4 linked regions of the Saccharomyces cerevisiae S288C genome follow. Changing the gene in region 4 together with the main gene of any one other region gives a genetic interaction. Each region holds a gene or a part of one and is shown on either strand. Other genes may lie near its edges. The genes, in order: SYH1, TRM11, YER134C and BIO2.

The links.
Region 1: mutations in BIO2 (region 4) and SYH1 together harm fitness more than expected from each alone (negative genetic interaction), as found in Saccharomyces cerevisiae (2 studies listed by BioGRID).
Region 2: mutations in BIO2 (region 4) and TRM11 together harm fitness more than expected from each alone (negative genetic interaction), as found in Saccharomyces cerevisiae (2 studies listed by BioGRID).
Region 3: mutations in BIO2 (region 4) and YER134C together harm fitness more than expected from each alone (negative genetic interaction), as found in Saccharomyces cerevisiae (one large-scale study listed by BioGRID).

What each region holds. Positions count from the first base shown.
Region 1 is NC_001148.4:352,334-357,183, reverse strand, and holds SYH1 (Syh1p), read left to right. Parts: upstream 1-1,771; coding exon 1,772-4,321; downstream 4,322-4,850. Other genes in the region: aspartate--tRNA ligase MSD1, read right to left, coding at 1-1,484.
Region 2 is NC_001147.6:84,875-88,662, reverse strand, and holds TRM11 (tRNA (guanine-N2-)-methyltransferase), read left to right. Parts: upstream 1-1,905; coding exon 1,906-3,207; downstream 3,208-3,788. Other genes in the region: HRP1 (Hrp1p), read right to left, coding at 1-819; TRM13 (tRNA:m4X modification enzyme), read right to left, coding at 3,399-3,788. UniProt on the Saccharomyces cerevisiae protein: Catalytic subunit of an S-adenosyl-L-methionine-dependent tRNA methyltransferase complex that mediates the methylation of the guanosine nucleotide at position 10 (m2G10) in tRNAs.
Region 3 is NC_001137.3:436,684-439,675, reverse strand, and holds YER134C (Mg-dependent acid phosphatase), read left to right. Parts: upstream 1-1,872; coding exon 1,873-2,409; downstream 2,410-2,992. Other genes in the region: GDI1 (Gdi1p), read right to left, coding at 1-60; YER135C (uncharacterized protein), read left to right, coding at 1,332-1,724. UniProt on the Saccharomyces cerevisiae protein: Magnesium-dependent phosphatase which may act as a tyrosine phosphatase.
Region 4 is NC_001139.9:1,063,302-1,066,979, reverse strand, and holds BIO2 (biotin synthase), read left to right. Parts: upstream 1-2,039; coding exon 2,040-3,167; downstream 3,168-3,678.

The sequences.
Region 1 (4,850 bases), on a different chromosome or scaffold from region 4:
ATTATAACGGGAGAAAATAACGGGAAATCCACAATCCATGAGGCAACATCCTTATTGACAGCATGATAGATATTTTTCCCATGCTCACTTTGTAGCACCAACTGTCTCAATCTTCCCAGGGGAGTAGGATTCTCGAAAATGGAATGGTTTGGCTCTCTCGTACAACCGCATACAATGTCACCTTTTTTCAGTTTCAGAAATTTGGTTATTAGATGTGGGTTTTCAAACGTGGCAATTGCATGAAAATTCTCAAACCAATTTGAATTAGCTTGTTCGTCATTTTCAATTGGTAGCACTATTGGAACTCTATAATTGTAATTACTGTTATTTGTCAGAAACGACCATCGTTCTTTGTACTCTTCCATATTTGAAAAGGCACTTCTTAGAATAATTACTTCAAAAACGGGAAATTTTTTGTTCAAATGACTAAAGGCATTGAACTCGCCTAAATTGATAATCTTCAAATCTGGCGCTCTCAAATCTGGCTTGTCAATACCATATGAGGTCATGGCTTGTTCGTAGGTCATACGAAAGATAGATACTGTGCCGTTTTCCTTTTTCGCAGGCACTAATGTACCCTTACTGTCTAAAGTCAATAATCCTCGTTTTTTGGAAAATTTACTCCATACCCCAGAAACTGTCTTTTCTATGATTTTCATGACATCTTCAGAATTAGCAAAGGCCATTTCCATATCAACCTGTGTAAACTCAGGCTGCCTGTCTGCTCTTAAATCTTCATCTCTAAAGCACCTTGCCATTTGATAATATTTGTTGACACCACTAGCCATTAAGAGTTGCTTGTATTGTTGAGGGCTCTGATCTAGAGCATAAAACGATGGTTTACCATCGGATCTCTTTGTCCTTGTTGGAACCAGAAACTCTCTTGCGCCTTCTGGGGTAGCTTTAAATAACATTGGGGTCTCGACCTCCGTAAAATCAAAATTGTTGAAGGAGTTTCTTATTTCCTTAGAGATAGATGACCTCTTCTTTAAAAAATCTTGATATTTGGGATTTCTCAATTGCAAATAGCGGAACTCAGGTGGGTATATGGCTGACAATTTAAAATCCTGCATTTGCGCTGGTTTTTTATTAGATGCATTTAACACAGTAATATCCTCCAATTGCACTTCGTACTCATCTGCGTCCTCATTTGATAGCTTCCTCTTCAAAGAGAGTATACCTACGGCTTGAACCACATCCTCTAAAGTAAAGCCTTTCAACAACGATTTGTTATCAACCAACTGGATAATGTCACCGTTAGAGTCCCTTAAAAGTCCGAAGATCAAATTTTTCCCAACTCTTTTTGGCTTCTGCTCTATCCATCCATTGAGTACTATTTTCTGGCCGCTAGACAGTCCTTTTAACTGTTTGATGGTCGAGGTGTCCTTCCTAAAGAGAAATTTTTTCTTAATAGCATTGGCTTCTGGAAAGTCTGCCAACCGTCTAGTGATTGTCTGCAAGCACACCCTGGAACGGGCCAACATGATTAAAACTTGTAATGTTTAGTCTTTTCAAAAAAGCATGCACTCAACTGAATCAAAATGTTAAGAAAACATGAATAATGAATAAATGAGGCATTCAATGCCATCTATTACTTCCTACTCCCATTTTCACCTTATTATTGTACTTTGGTACGGCAGTAGCTTTCTGAAATTTCATCTACCAAACTTTGCAAGCACGAAAAAGAAAGCAAAACATTTCATTTACCATGGACGCATGGAGAAGGTCGATTTTGCCACAGCTTGCACAAGATTGGCAGTGGCAGTAAGTGATGAATCCTATCAACTCTCTAGCGTTTGACCTTCACAGTGTTAAACTTGCAGACGCGAACTCAGACACTGCTGCATTATCAAATAGCAATACTCCAACCATGAACAATGCGGCTCTTTTGCAAAGGCCCTCCTCCATTATGGATTCTATTGGCGTCCAAAGAGTTCCATCTCCTTTTGTGCCAGGGAGTAATGCGATTAGTGGAGCCAGTACTGTTCCCTTCAATGCATATGACGCTGAAATTACTGGATCTCCGCTACAAATATCTGCTAATCAGGAAAACAATAGTGCATTTAGTGCAGCATCATCCAACCTGCATATGAACGCCAGCAGCCCTTCCGTTCTCAATAAACCCTCGAGCACATTTCCAAATGTAGCTCCTTATCTCTACAACGCAACAGGGCCTGCCCCCAACGTTGGTAATCAACCCCCACCACCGGGGATAGAATCTCAGTGGAAATACATTGACTCTAATGGTAACATTCAGGGGCCTTTTGGTACCAATAATATGTCACAGTGGTATCAAGGAGGTTATTTTACTCCAACTTTGCAAATCTGTAGATTAGCAACATCTCCTGAGCCATTTGGTGTAAATGATCGGTTTATTAGACTAGGTGAATTGACTACTCTGGTGAATAATTATCAAGACCCTTTTGTCGCCTTTGATTTCATTGTTATTAGAGCTTTGAATGCTGTTCCACTTGTTGCACCAACTTCATCAGAAAAGCAAAAAGTTGAGTCAAGAGATTTGATACCTGTTGCTGATGTGCATAGTGATGATTTTACGTATGAAGAAATCCTTGGCCTTAAATTTGAAGATGGAAGTTACTATCATGAAACTCAGGTTTGGGTTCCGGTTGACGGCCGTCATATCACAAAGGTAGATCGCATACCAAAGATATCTGCATATACCGCTCCTCTATCCACGACTTCTAGTAGATCTAATAAAACCACTTCTTCCCATGAAGAGAAGGTTCCTTCCCACGAGGAAGCTTCTCCAGAGGAGCAAGAGGTTTTTTCAGAAGAGGGCAGAACTGTTTCTAACATAACAAATGAAGAGGAATCTATTGTCAAAAATCCTACTAAGCAGGAGGAAGAATCTCGAGGAAGCGAGAAAGAGCAAAATATATTGGATCAAGTTCAACCAGAGATTGAAGAGGTAGACCGTAAGGATGTAATATCCACTGCTGATGAGCCGAAAAGCAAAGATACGCCGCAAATGACTTCTGAAGAGCAGAAAAGGTTTGCAAAGGCAGAACTGATGGCACAAAAATTATTGGAAGAACAACAAAGACAAGAAGAAGAAAAAAAGAGAAGAGAAGAACAGCGCAAATTAAAGAAGGAGAAAAAATTGAAGCAAAAGCAGAAAAAGGAAGAAGAGAAGTTAAAAAAGAAGAAGAAGGAAGAAGGAAAATTAGAGAAAGAAAAGCAAAAAGAATTGCTAAATAACATTTTAACTGGAGATACAGAAACTCCATCTTCCGAAAACACCGCAACTTCCATAACCACTAATTTGGCGCCTTGGGCTAACAAGAAACCCGAGGGTGCTGTTTATAATCAGATTTCATCTGCTCTTGAAGATTTGAAGAAGGAGAACTCGTCCAAGAAAGAAAAAAAACCTAATCGTACTCAGTTAGATCGTGAGCAGGCATTAAAACTACAGAAAGAAATATTAAGCTCGGCGCAAATTCCGAAAACTCAAACTGGTTCTGCCTGGGGTATAAAGCCACAGCAACCGATCAAAGTTGATATTAAAGGAGAATTGATGAAAGACAGTACCAAAATTAACAGTCAGTCTAAAATTAACAAGGCCAACAATGGTGATATTAAACCAGATTCCACTTTTATTGAAGAGCAGAAAAAGCTGTGGGAACAAGTTCAAAAGAAAACAAAGAAATTCAACCGCGCTTCTTCACTCGATGATTTCATTTCAAGAACGCCTTCCCCATCTTCTTCGGCATTGAACTCTTCGAATACTAGCAATGCGTGGACCACGGTTTCTTCTAAGAGCACAACCCACATCGCTTCCACCATGCCTGTCGCTGGTAACCAGTCAAAGTCATATATCAGTTTGGACACACTGCGTTCTTCTGGGGGGTTATCTACCGCAACAAAAACTAAAATGAGCGATAAGAGTAAACAAATTGGCTCATCCACTAGTATCCCGACTTTAAAGGCCCGTCAAGTTAAACCGTCTCGCATCCCTGCCTATCCCGGTAACGCTTCTGTCTCTAAGCGTCAAGAATTTTTGAGATGGTGCCGATCCCAATTAAAACTAAATACGGGTGTTCAGCCCGATAATGTTTTAGAAATGCTACTTAGCTTGCCCCCAGGTTCAGAATCCAAGGAAATTATCGCAGATACCATATATTCCTACAGTTCAACAATGGACGGTAGGAGATTTGCCACTGATTTCATCAAAAAACGTCTAGAATGCGAAGAAGAAATTAATGACCCCTTGAGCTGGAGTGAAGTATTAGCTATGCCTGAAGGCAGTTCCGAAGACTGGGAATTTCAAGTTGTTGGTAAAAAGAAAGGAAAAAGATTTTGAAGCCTTTTTGTTCCATAGTAGTTGTTTACTACGCGTGTATATCTTCTATTCAATGTATTAACTAGTATAACTCCCATCTATTTGTATAATTAATTGAAATTAAATATCTTGATAACTAATAACAGTACTAAGAACGCTACAATAATATGTTAGCGTGTGCAAACTACCTATAGCTAGTATATCGATTAAATGTTTGAAGCCACATGAATTGAGAAAGGTAAGCACATTTTTCAAATTGCAGAACGTATCATTTAGCGAATCTATCGTCTGTTTGAAGGTTCTTAATGGAGATGAGAAGTGTTTAAGTTGGTTGAGCGCATAATCATTTGTTACGTGTATTTCTTTTCTTTTTTTCTTTTTTTTTTTCGAAGGCAATGAAAAAAGAAATTTAACGAAGATGATTCTAGAAGATTCCTTTTCCAAAGAGCACTACTTGTCAATATAACCTTAGTGATAAAAGTTACTGTCCATTTTAAACTCCCTCTGTCTTGATTTTTCTTCTTATAACTCAGTTAGTTCTGATTCTTAT
Region 2 (3,788 bases), on a different chromosome or scaffold from region 4:
TTGCGCATCGATAATCGTACCCCACTGAGAAAAAAATTCTTCAAATTCCTTTGGTCTCACATCAGGACCAATACCACCAACAAAGATTTTACCGGTTTTATCTTGCTCGTCTCTTGGGATAGCTCTTTTTGGGTCGATAACTTTACCATCGAGGATATGTTGTGTCTTTACCACTTCATCAACACTAGAAGGTTTTTCAAAAGATAAGAAACCGAACCCTCTAGATCTACCTGTTGCAGGGTCTTTCATGATTTTCAAATCAGTGACGGTACCATACTTACCAAAATATTCGCGAAGATTATCTTCCGTAGTGTCCCAATTCAGACCACCAATGAACATCTTGCAACTTTCTTTAGACAAATCCGCTTTCGAACGTTCCTCTTTGGTTTGAGTTACTTGCTGTTGAGGTGGTGATTGAGAAGATGGTTGCTGGAATTGTGACATGGTTTGTTGAAGTTGTTCCCAAGGTAAGCCAGAAGGTCCTGCAGAACTAGCGTTGGCATTGGCATTTGCTGATGTAGCGCTTTCTTGTTTTTTTTCATTCTTAGTGTCTTCATTGGAACCTTCCTTGTCATTCGCAGTGCCATCTTGCTTACTAGAAGATGTGTCTTGGTTACTATTATTACTACTACTGTTGTTACTATTTGGATTATTTAGTTTGTTCAAGCTAGAAGATAATGCTTGTAGTGCGGCTAGTTGATCTAATTGCGAGGTACCACTGCCAGCCTTATTTTGTTCTTCTTCTTTTTTGACTTCTTCAGTAGTGGTAGGCTTATCATCGCCGTAGATGTCGTTGAAATCTTCTTCGTCAGAGCTCATTGCTTATTTAACTTATTCTCTATTTTCTCAGACTTGTGTATACTGCTAAAGTTCTTTATAAATAAAATATTTGCGTCTTTTATGAAAAGATTGTAATATAAACAGTAATATTAATACAGAATAAAAAAGGGCCAATTGTTTGTATTATGCACGCTTTTTCAATTTCTTGTTTATTGAGTATACCTTTTCTGTCCGTATTTTTTCTTTTTGTTTCTTTCGCAAAAAAGGTTAGAAAGAAATCTAGTAAGGTATGAGATTTTAGTTATTAAACACTAAAAAGTAAAAGATACACGTAAAAAATTTATAACAGTATATTGTACTAATACTTGACTATCTGCAAAATTAAATAACTAGTCGAAACTGTTCAATCCTTTGTTTTTAATTACAGTGGCGGAAAGGAGAGAGCGGAAGAAAATTTAAGAGCGCCTGGGCGTGTGGAAAGCATGCGCCTTTTATACTTTTTTTGCTTTGTCCAACAAGAAATCTCGGCGCTGCTCGTAGGGAGGGGCTGCAAGAAAAAAAATAAATAAAAAAAAGAAAGTATTTCCGGGTAAGATTAAAAATGCATTCGATTTAGCCGCCCAGTATTTCGCAAGATCTTCCAAGGTTATAGATGTTTAGAAGAGAAAGAAGTTGGGATCCTTAAGAGCATGTTTCTTTTTCCACGCATCTACATTAGGATTTACTCTTTGTTTTTCAACTTCTGCGCAAGATCTTCAAGAACAAATCGAAGAGATAAAAAAATTGATATTTATAGTCAATAGGTTTTCGATAGCATGACCCTCCGGACTTTTGATGGATAGATAAAGCGAAATTTAGAGGGTTTTTGATCTTCTTCCTTGCAGCAACCTATATTTCTTAGTATTTTGTATATCAATAGCCTCCATAATGTTATCTATAGCTATTAGTACTTTAAGAGACTTTTATTACCCGTATTTTGGATTCTTTTCCGAAGAAAAAAGAAATGTTTACGTTGTGGGAAAAGTGAAAAAAATCGATGATTATGGGCATCGAGGTCTTAATACCCGTAATATGGAGATGAAATAGCATAACTAAACACATTGTATATAAGGTAAAAACGGCAGCATGAAGAAATATCTGCTGTATATGGTACAAGTTCATTTGAACTTTAGAAGAGCAGAACTGGAATCGTTAGCAGACCTATATAATCTTTCCATAGACTTTTCGCAGTACGATGCCAATAGCCCTTTCTTTATTGTAGAGCTGGAAAATGATCAGCAAGCAAAGGATTGGATTAAGAGGTCTATTTTAACCAGAGGTATTTATGAGTATTGGGGGCAGGGTACAACGCTCGATGAGCTGCATAAAGATATTCAGCGTCAGTCTAACTTTGAACAGGATCTGCAATTGAAATTCAAACATTCCACTTTTAAGTTCGAATTCGAATGCTATAAAGGCAACAGTAAAGCTAAGAGGGTAGAGCAGATTGAAACTTTCCGTTACCTTGGCTTTGAAGGAAAGATTGATATGAAACATCCTCAAGAGGTTTTCACTGTTATAGAAGAGTACACACCAATATCGGAAAACGTTGGTGGTAAGACCCCCACCAGGATTTATTTTGGTAGGCAGGTTCAGATGAGCAATAGGAGTGCCATGGAGAAATATGATTTGAAGAAAAGACCTTATAAAGGTACAACTAGCTTCGAAGCAGAATTATCGTTGGTCAGCGCCAATATAGCTCAAGTGAAACCGGGAACTATAATGTACGACCCGTTTGCAGGTACAGGATCCTTTTTGGTAGCTGGTGGGCATTTTGGTTCTTTAGTGATTGGTTCGGATATAGATGGCAGAATGATTCGTGGTAAGGGTGCTCAAGTGAACATTTCGGCCAACTTCAAAAAATATGGCGAGAGTTCTCAATTCCTCGACGTGTTGACCATGGACTTTACAAATAACGCATTAAGAAACAATCTTGTCATTGATACTATTTTGTGTGATCCTCCATATGGTATCAGAGAAAGCATAAAAGTCCTAGGTGCTAAGGATCCAGAAAGATTTCTAGGCAAGGAAGATATGGAAATTGACGGTGAAAAGGCATATTTGCGTCGCGATTATATTCCAACCAAAAAACCGTATGCTCTAGATTCATTACTGGATGATCTTTTACAATACTCTTCCGAAAGATTACCGATTGGCGGAAGATTAGCCTTCTGGATGCCCACTGCAAACGACGCCAATATTGAAACTATTGTCCCAATGCACGAAAATCTAGAGCTAAAATACAACTGCGTTCAAGAATTCAATAAATGGTCAAGGAGACTACTGGTTTATATTAATAGGGGTAGCACTTTCAATGGATCAAGTAATCATGGCATAAAACGTTCAAAAGATAATTTCAGGGAGCGGTACTTCAATAATTTTAACTGAAATGATGCATAAGCCCTTTGTAATTTTAAGATATATTTACTTACTCTTTCTCTTAAAGAAAAAAAAAAAAAAAGAAGAACAATTTATCTATACCTATATTTATGTTTATGTTCCATCATGTAGAAAAGTTTCATTTAAAATTAATAGCCCGTCAAAAATACAAGTGAAAAAAAATAAAAATTAAAAGCTCTCTATTTCTTATAAACTAACATAGCAACGTTCTCTAAAGAAACATCGGATTCTACGTACCTTATCAGCTCCGCATTAAACTCTGTAAACTTTTCTTTCACATATACCAACCTGCCCTCGTCGATTACACGCCTAGCCATTAATCCAATATTTTCTCTCTCTTTAATGGTTATTGTATATGGCTCAGCCCCTTCAAACGATTCGACAACGTTTACTATATCTGTAATAGCCGTACCTGGTTTCCTTCCGCAGGTACCCCATGAACAGAGTTTAGTTAAAACGCGGAAAAAGGTTTCGTACGTCAAGATGGAGCCATGGGCCCTATACTTTTCAACAAGTGATGTAACGTAACTGCGGTTGACATAGTCGCCGTAGTCACAGACATGCCTGCA
Region 3 (2,992 bases), on a different chromosome or scaffold from region 4:
GGTAATACCGGTACCTAAGACAATCACGTCGTAGTCAGTGTCTATTGTTTCTTGATCCATTGTGTTATGCTATATAAGTGGTTATTCACTAACAGTTATGATGGAAGGGGAGTAAAGAAAAGGAAAAGACTAATTGCAGTCCTGCTTTGAAAAATATCCTTCCTTGAAAAAAGACTATGTTAGAAATTTGATGGGACGACGTCTCAAGCAAGAATGAAGTAGAACCTTTTCTACTAACAAAATCGGGATAAATCAGCCGACGTGTTGAAACTACATCTACAATCCCTCGCTGAAGCTTCCCACGGCCAAGATTTTGGAGCCCACAGGAGAGGGGAAAACACCGCCAATGTGAGATAAACGATTCAAACATAAGGGTAACCTAAAGATAACGGTTTTGAGCGTTTACGGCCTACTTTACTATGCAACAGCAGATGTTGGATAATAGAGAAGTTTGAGTGATAGATTGTAGAAAGTACAAGAATATGGGTGTATTACGGGAGTTAACAGAGGTATGTACTTTATCAAATGTGGTCTGATATTTTTTTCTTGAAAACAGTCTTGGCTATGTAATTTTTTAAGTTTTGCGCCTTTAGCTCATGTTTAGTTTCTGGTGGGGGAAGCGGTAATTATTTTAAAGTAGCCAACATAAGCAAAATATATGGAGAAAAAGAAGAATACCGTCGGAACCGCTAAAAGTATGTTTTTGTTACAGGATTGTAAAGCTTGTATCGCTTGGCAAGAGTTTGATTGGCCATTCTTGTAACTATTAGTTATTAAGCGGATTTGTCTCTTTTCAACTAGTTTCGAAGATGTCTCAAGAGATTGGAAGTAAACATTGCTTAGTATGAAAGGAATGCCCTTTGTAAATTAACGTAAATTATAACGTTTTCGAAAAAAAAAATTGATTTCGCCCAGGATCGAACTGGGGACGTTCTGCGTGTTAAGCAGATGCCATAACCGACTAGACCACGAAACCTAATTTGTTGAAAAAGTTTCATTAAAAAATAGAATATATCTACAATTCTTAAGATTTACACATGAAATTGTGGAGATGAAGCTCTAAAATATCATTGCTCAGTTATATCGTGTAATTAGTGTATTATCACGTACGGTGTAAAGAGGATGACATGAAAATCGAGAAATAGTCATCAAACCTCTTATCCCGAAAATGACAATACGTCAGGAACATATACACCACTTAATGAAGGGTAATTGATTATATCCCAATAAAGTGAATCTTAGTTTATTCGAAGTTAGTTGTCGATTGTCGTTTGAATATCCCCTTTGAGTTTAACGACCACAAATGCAAGGTTGATTAAAATCTTTCAAGCATGACATGGACTTTAAGAAACTTACATAATTCACAGAAAAAGGTCTTGGTCGATATTACAATTTGGTTAGCACTTTCTCCATACGGTGACATGGCGTTATTTACAAGTTTTGAGAATATAATCGGCGAATATTATAGGTACTCTATACTACCGTTACATCAAAACTTACACAAGTTACTATTCACTCTTTTTCTAATATGCCTCGCTAGTTGGAAAGAGGGAAACAGATCTTGCAGATATAAATGGCAGAAATTTGTGTGCAACAAGCTAAATTCTCCTGAAACAAATTTCGTACCCATTCGCACCTCAGTGAATAAGAACTCTAAAATGATTGTTGAAAAGCAGATAAGCATTCATATTTCTTTAAAGTGTATTGTTTACAAAGAATACTAAGGGATTGAGTAGAATATTTTTCACGCACTAGAAGAAGGACCTGCCGAAAAGGAGACCTTCTCGAGAAACAAGCATTTTTGTCCTTAAACTTACAAAGAGAACAATTTTGTTACAAATCCTGCTCCAAAATAGTCTCAACGCGTTTATTATGACTGGATACCCTGACGTGGCCGCCTTCGATTTGGACTACACCATTTGGCCCTGCTATTGTGATACCCATTTGCACGGTCCCTTTAAGCCAGTTAAAAGTAGTAATGGCGAAGTTCTCACAATTATATGTAGAGATGGTTACGAGCTCACAATCTACAAAGATATCCCACGTATACTAGGTGATCTTAAAGATAATGGAGTTAAGTTAATGACCGCGTCACGAACGTGGGCACCTGAGATTGCCCAGGAAATACTGAAAATATTCAAGGTCAAGTATGCTGGTGTCGTAACCCCGTTGGCCAACCTGTTCGATGAATTTCAGTGGGGAGAAAGAAGTAAAATTGGCCATTTAAGGGACGGTTTGAAAGATCTTTATAATACCAGCGATTTAAAATCGAAAAAGATTTGTTTATTTGATGATGAAAGTAGAAACAAAGAAGTGGAGAAATACGGAGTGAAGTTTGTTTATGTAAGAGACCCAGAGAATGGACCATCTTGGAAACTTTATCAAGATTACCTGAGTGGAAAGGTTTGAAGGACTGCGCACTTAGTTCACAGAGCATCATCTGAGCATAAGAAGAAGTCATTACATTTATGGGAAGATGATACATCACTGTTAAAAATTATATATTTGTGATTTATCAAAATAGAAGCTCACTTTTAATTTAAAAACTTTAACCAATCCGCCTCAGCCTTTGTACTAATTTGTTCTTCCAAAAAGAGTTTTCATAACTTAACCATATATCTATGTATAAAAACCTGGTTCATTCACCACTTTTCACTACTAAGTTCAGACAAATATTTTCAAATTTCAGTGCAAGAAGCTCTTAACCATCTGCTTTTCTCCAATGATCTTCATACACGTTGTAATGCTACTGATAGCGTTTGAATTTTAAGTGTACGAAACATTATGTGACGAACATGAACCTTAACCCATTATTTTTAACAGAGTAGTTTAACTACGTTAACCAAAAAAAAAGAATAACTTTTTTTCGCAGGCAAATATGCATTTCTTATTCCAACACTATTGATTCCTGCCATAGATTGATGATTTTCCTAAAACTAGAATGTAGAACAAAAATACTCAAATGATATTCAAGATCAAAAAAGAATCTCCT
Region 4 (3,678 bases):
GGGCACCAAAGGGCATTTGTTTAGAACTTCCAAATGGGGACATAAGGGGTCAGAAAGGAAAACGAATACATCTAACCCTATAGCTGATTGCTTCAATTTATTGGTTAGGAGAATAAAAAACTCTTTCTTTTGTCAAGCAGAACGAGAGAGGAACGCAAACCGAATGCAGGAGACTCGAAGAAAGATGCTTTCTTGACTTATATTTTTATAATTATTGGAATTGACGCTTGATCTAGTAAAGAATGAGATGGTGGCCGTATTCTGCTGACCTAAATTTAATATTTATTCTAAAAGGTCTGTTAATTTTGTACAAATCCTTGGCGAGAAGGAGAGGTGGCAAAATATTTGTGAAAATGGGAACCAATTTAATCAAATAGATGTAGCTTCTAGAAAGCCATTTTTAATGAGTTATATAGGGTCGTTGATTAGGTATCGTATCACAATGTCACAGTCTCAATGGAAAATACATCAACCATCACTCCTTCCAGTGGTAGGGAATGCTCTGCTAACATGCCTCAATTATGTGGCAACATCCTTCAAACATAGGTCATTTTCCTGCACAGTCAGCATTGTTCCCAAGGTTGTTTAACAGTGAACGGAAGAAATTTTTATCATAAAAGTCTCTAAATAAGGAACTAAGTGTGCAGAAGATGGGAATGTGTGGCTCAGTTTAATCTTCAATTCAACGTCGGATAGTACTTATTAAGGATAGCCATCTTTCTTAGTAGCCTACTCTTCTGATTCGTTTTAGTTAAGAGTGTGGAAATACTTGAATTATAGCATACAAATGGAAATGGTTAAATAGCTATACGCTCTTTCAAGTCATTGTTCTTGCTTCTGCCTTTTCCGTACAAATGTGACTATAATAGTTGCACTAGTTTAGCTTTCTCATCAGTACGAAAAATATTAAATCTCAATTAATTACTTTAGAAGGATATGATGTGGTCAATGCATCTGATCTTCTACTGACGCATTTAGGGCTTATGTGACCTAGTTATTCATTGCGAAAGCAGAACGTACTACCATTTACGAATCTGAACTTCGAATAACAACAGCAAGAGGCTCTAGGATGAAGTCTTCCCGGAAACCATTACTCCAAAGTAGGTAGCTGTGGAAAGCAGCTTCCAGATAATAGTAAATGGATAACCGTTTCTAAGCGACCTTATTTCAGTCTTGAAAATACTTACCCATTTTGCATCGATTGGGAACTGAGAACCTACAAGCCGTAAGATTGCGTAGCTTTCTCTTGGGGTCCGTGAGATCCGTATTCTGCATTATTACTGCATCTCCAACGAAACTACCTCATTGTGTGAAACTACTATTTCTTGCAAGAAGTTATGACTGCGATGCAAATTACAAAATATACAATTGTAAAACGGCTTAATAGAAAGACATTAGTAGCCCTTGGTCATTACCTTCATATTCAAATAAGCTAATGATCAAATAAAAAAGCCCAACGATATTGCCTGTTGCATCTAAAATTTTCCAAGTCAAACGAGTTCATATTATATACTATGTATGGAATATATATATATAATTTTTCATTTTATTTTCAAAAAATGCCACTGCGCAAATCTCTGTCCATCAGTACTGTTCTTTACAATTTTATCGTGGGAAGTTGCGGAGGGGCGTGTTGGCTAGCAAAAGATAGTCATGTCGAGATGACTCGCGGATGAAGTCTCGCGTCTTCTTCGAAGCCATTTTGCCGGCATTTGGTTATGGAAAAAAGTTGTTGAAAAGTGCAAAGCATTAGAACCGTCCCTGTCACGCTGGTGCCCCCACAGATTTCACGTGAGAGACGATGCCTGAGGAAAATCCGCTACGCTGCTGCCTAATCTGTATTTACAGGCTATGTAGTTCGTTTGCCACTCTGCTAGATTCTCTTGGTATCTTTTATTTCTTCTCTTAGGCAGATCTTATATAAAAGGGCAAAGCTTTTTTTGCTCCCATACTTGCTGAAAATTTTTCAGATCTTACTCTTCTGGTAGTGGTGTCCTCAGAAGAGCTAACTTAGCCGATTATTTTCAATTTAGTGCAGTATGATGTCTACTATCTACCGTCATTTATCTACCGCTAGACCGGCTTTAACTAAATACGCAACCAATGCCGCAGTTAAATCGACAACTGCATCCTCAGAAGCTAGTACTCTGGGTGCTCTACAATATGCATTGTCTTTAGATGAACCAAGTCATTCGTGGACAAAATCGCAATTAAAAGAAATTTATCATACCCCACTGCTCGAACTTACTCATGCAGCACAATTGCAGCACAGAAAGTGGCACGATCCAACCAAAGTGCAATTGTGCACATTGATGAACATCAAATCTGGTGGTTGTTCTGAGGACTGTAAGTATTGTGCGCAGTCTTCGAGAAACGATACCGGTCTAAAGGCTGAGAAAATGGTTAAAGTGGATGAAGTGATTAAAGAGGCAGAAGAGGCCAAAAGAAACGGATCTACTAGATTCTGCCTAGGTGCTGCATGGAGAGACATGAAAGGTCGTAAATCAGCCATGAAAAGAATTCAGGAAATGGTGACCAAAGTGAATGATATGGGGCTAGAAACGTGTGTTACTTTAGGTATGGTTGATCAAGATCAAGCAAAGCAATTGAAAGATGCAGGTTTGACTGCATACAACCATAACATCGACACTTCCAGAGAACACTATAGTAAGGTCATCACCACGAGAACCTACGACGACAGGTTACAGACCATCAAGAATGTCCAAGAATCTGGAATAAAAGCCTGTACCGGTGGTATTTTGGGTCTCGGTGAAAGCGAAGACGACCATATAGGATTCATCTACACATTATCCAATATGTCTCCTCATCCTGAGTCCCTACCAATTAATAGACTAGTTGCTATCAAAGGGACTCCAATGGCTGAGGAACTTGCCGATCCAAAGAGTAAAAAGTTGCAATTCGACGAAATTTTGAGAACCATTGCCACAGCGAGAATAGTTATGCCAAAGGCCATTATAAGACTTGCCGCTGGTCGTTATACAATGAAAGAAACAGAGCAATTTGTCTGTTTCATGGCAGGTTGTAACAGTATCTTCACCGGTAAGAAAATGCTGACGACAATGTGTAACGGTTGGGACGAAGACAAGGCAATGTTGGCTAAATGGGGATTGCAACCTATGGAGGCATTTAAGTACGACAGATCTTGAAGATAGGGATATGTGGATAATTCTACGATTCTAACTGTACATTTCTCCCTTATTTATTAAGAAAACCTATATATATATATATTTACCTATTTATTCTGCCATCGTTAGCTGGCGTTTTATCTTTTATGCATCCAATATCTAATATTACTTCCGATCACGCATTTAGTTCTGATTACAGCAGAAATCGTAGCGCGATGAGACATTTCATCAAATGGCCTTTTTTTTTTGGGCAATTTTTTTATATCTTGAAATGATAGTTGCCTTGTACTTTCAACCGTTCATTTCATTAAGAACTTGACTAAATATGAACATTTCTTAAAAAAAAGGTTGACATATAAAAATAATCGAATATAAACGATGGAATTTTTATAAAATTAAACACATATATATATATATATTAACTATAAATATGTCAAAGAAACCATACAATCATAGATTTATAACTATCTTTTGGATGACATTAATGAACATAACGCTCCTAATACAAATGTCCAAAAAATATTACCCGCAA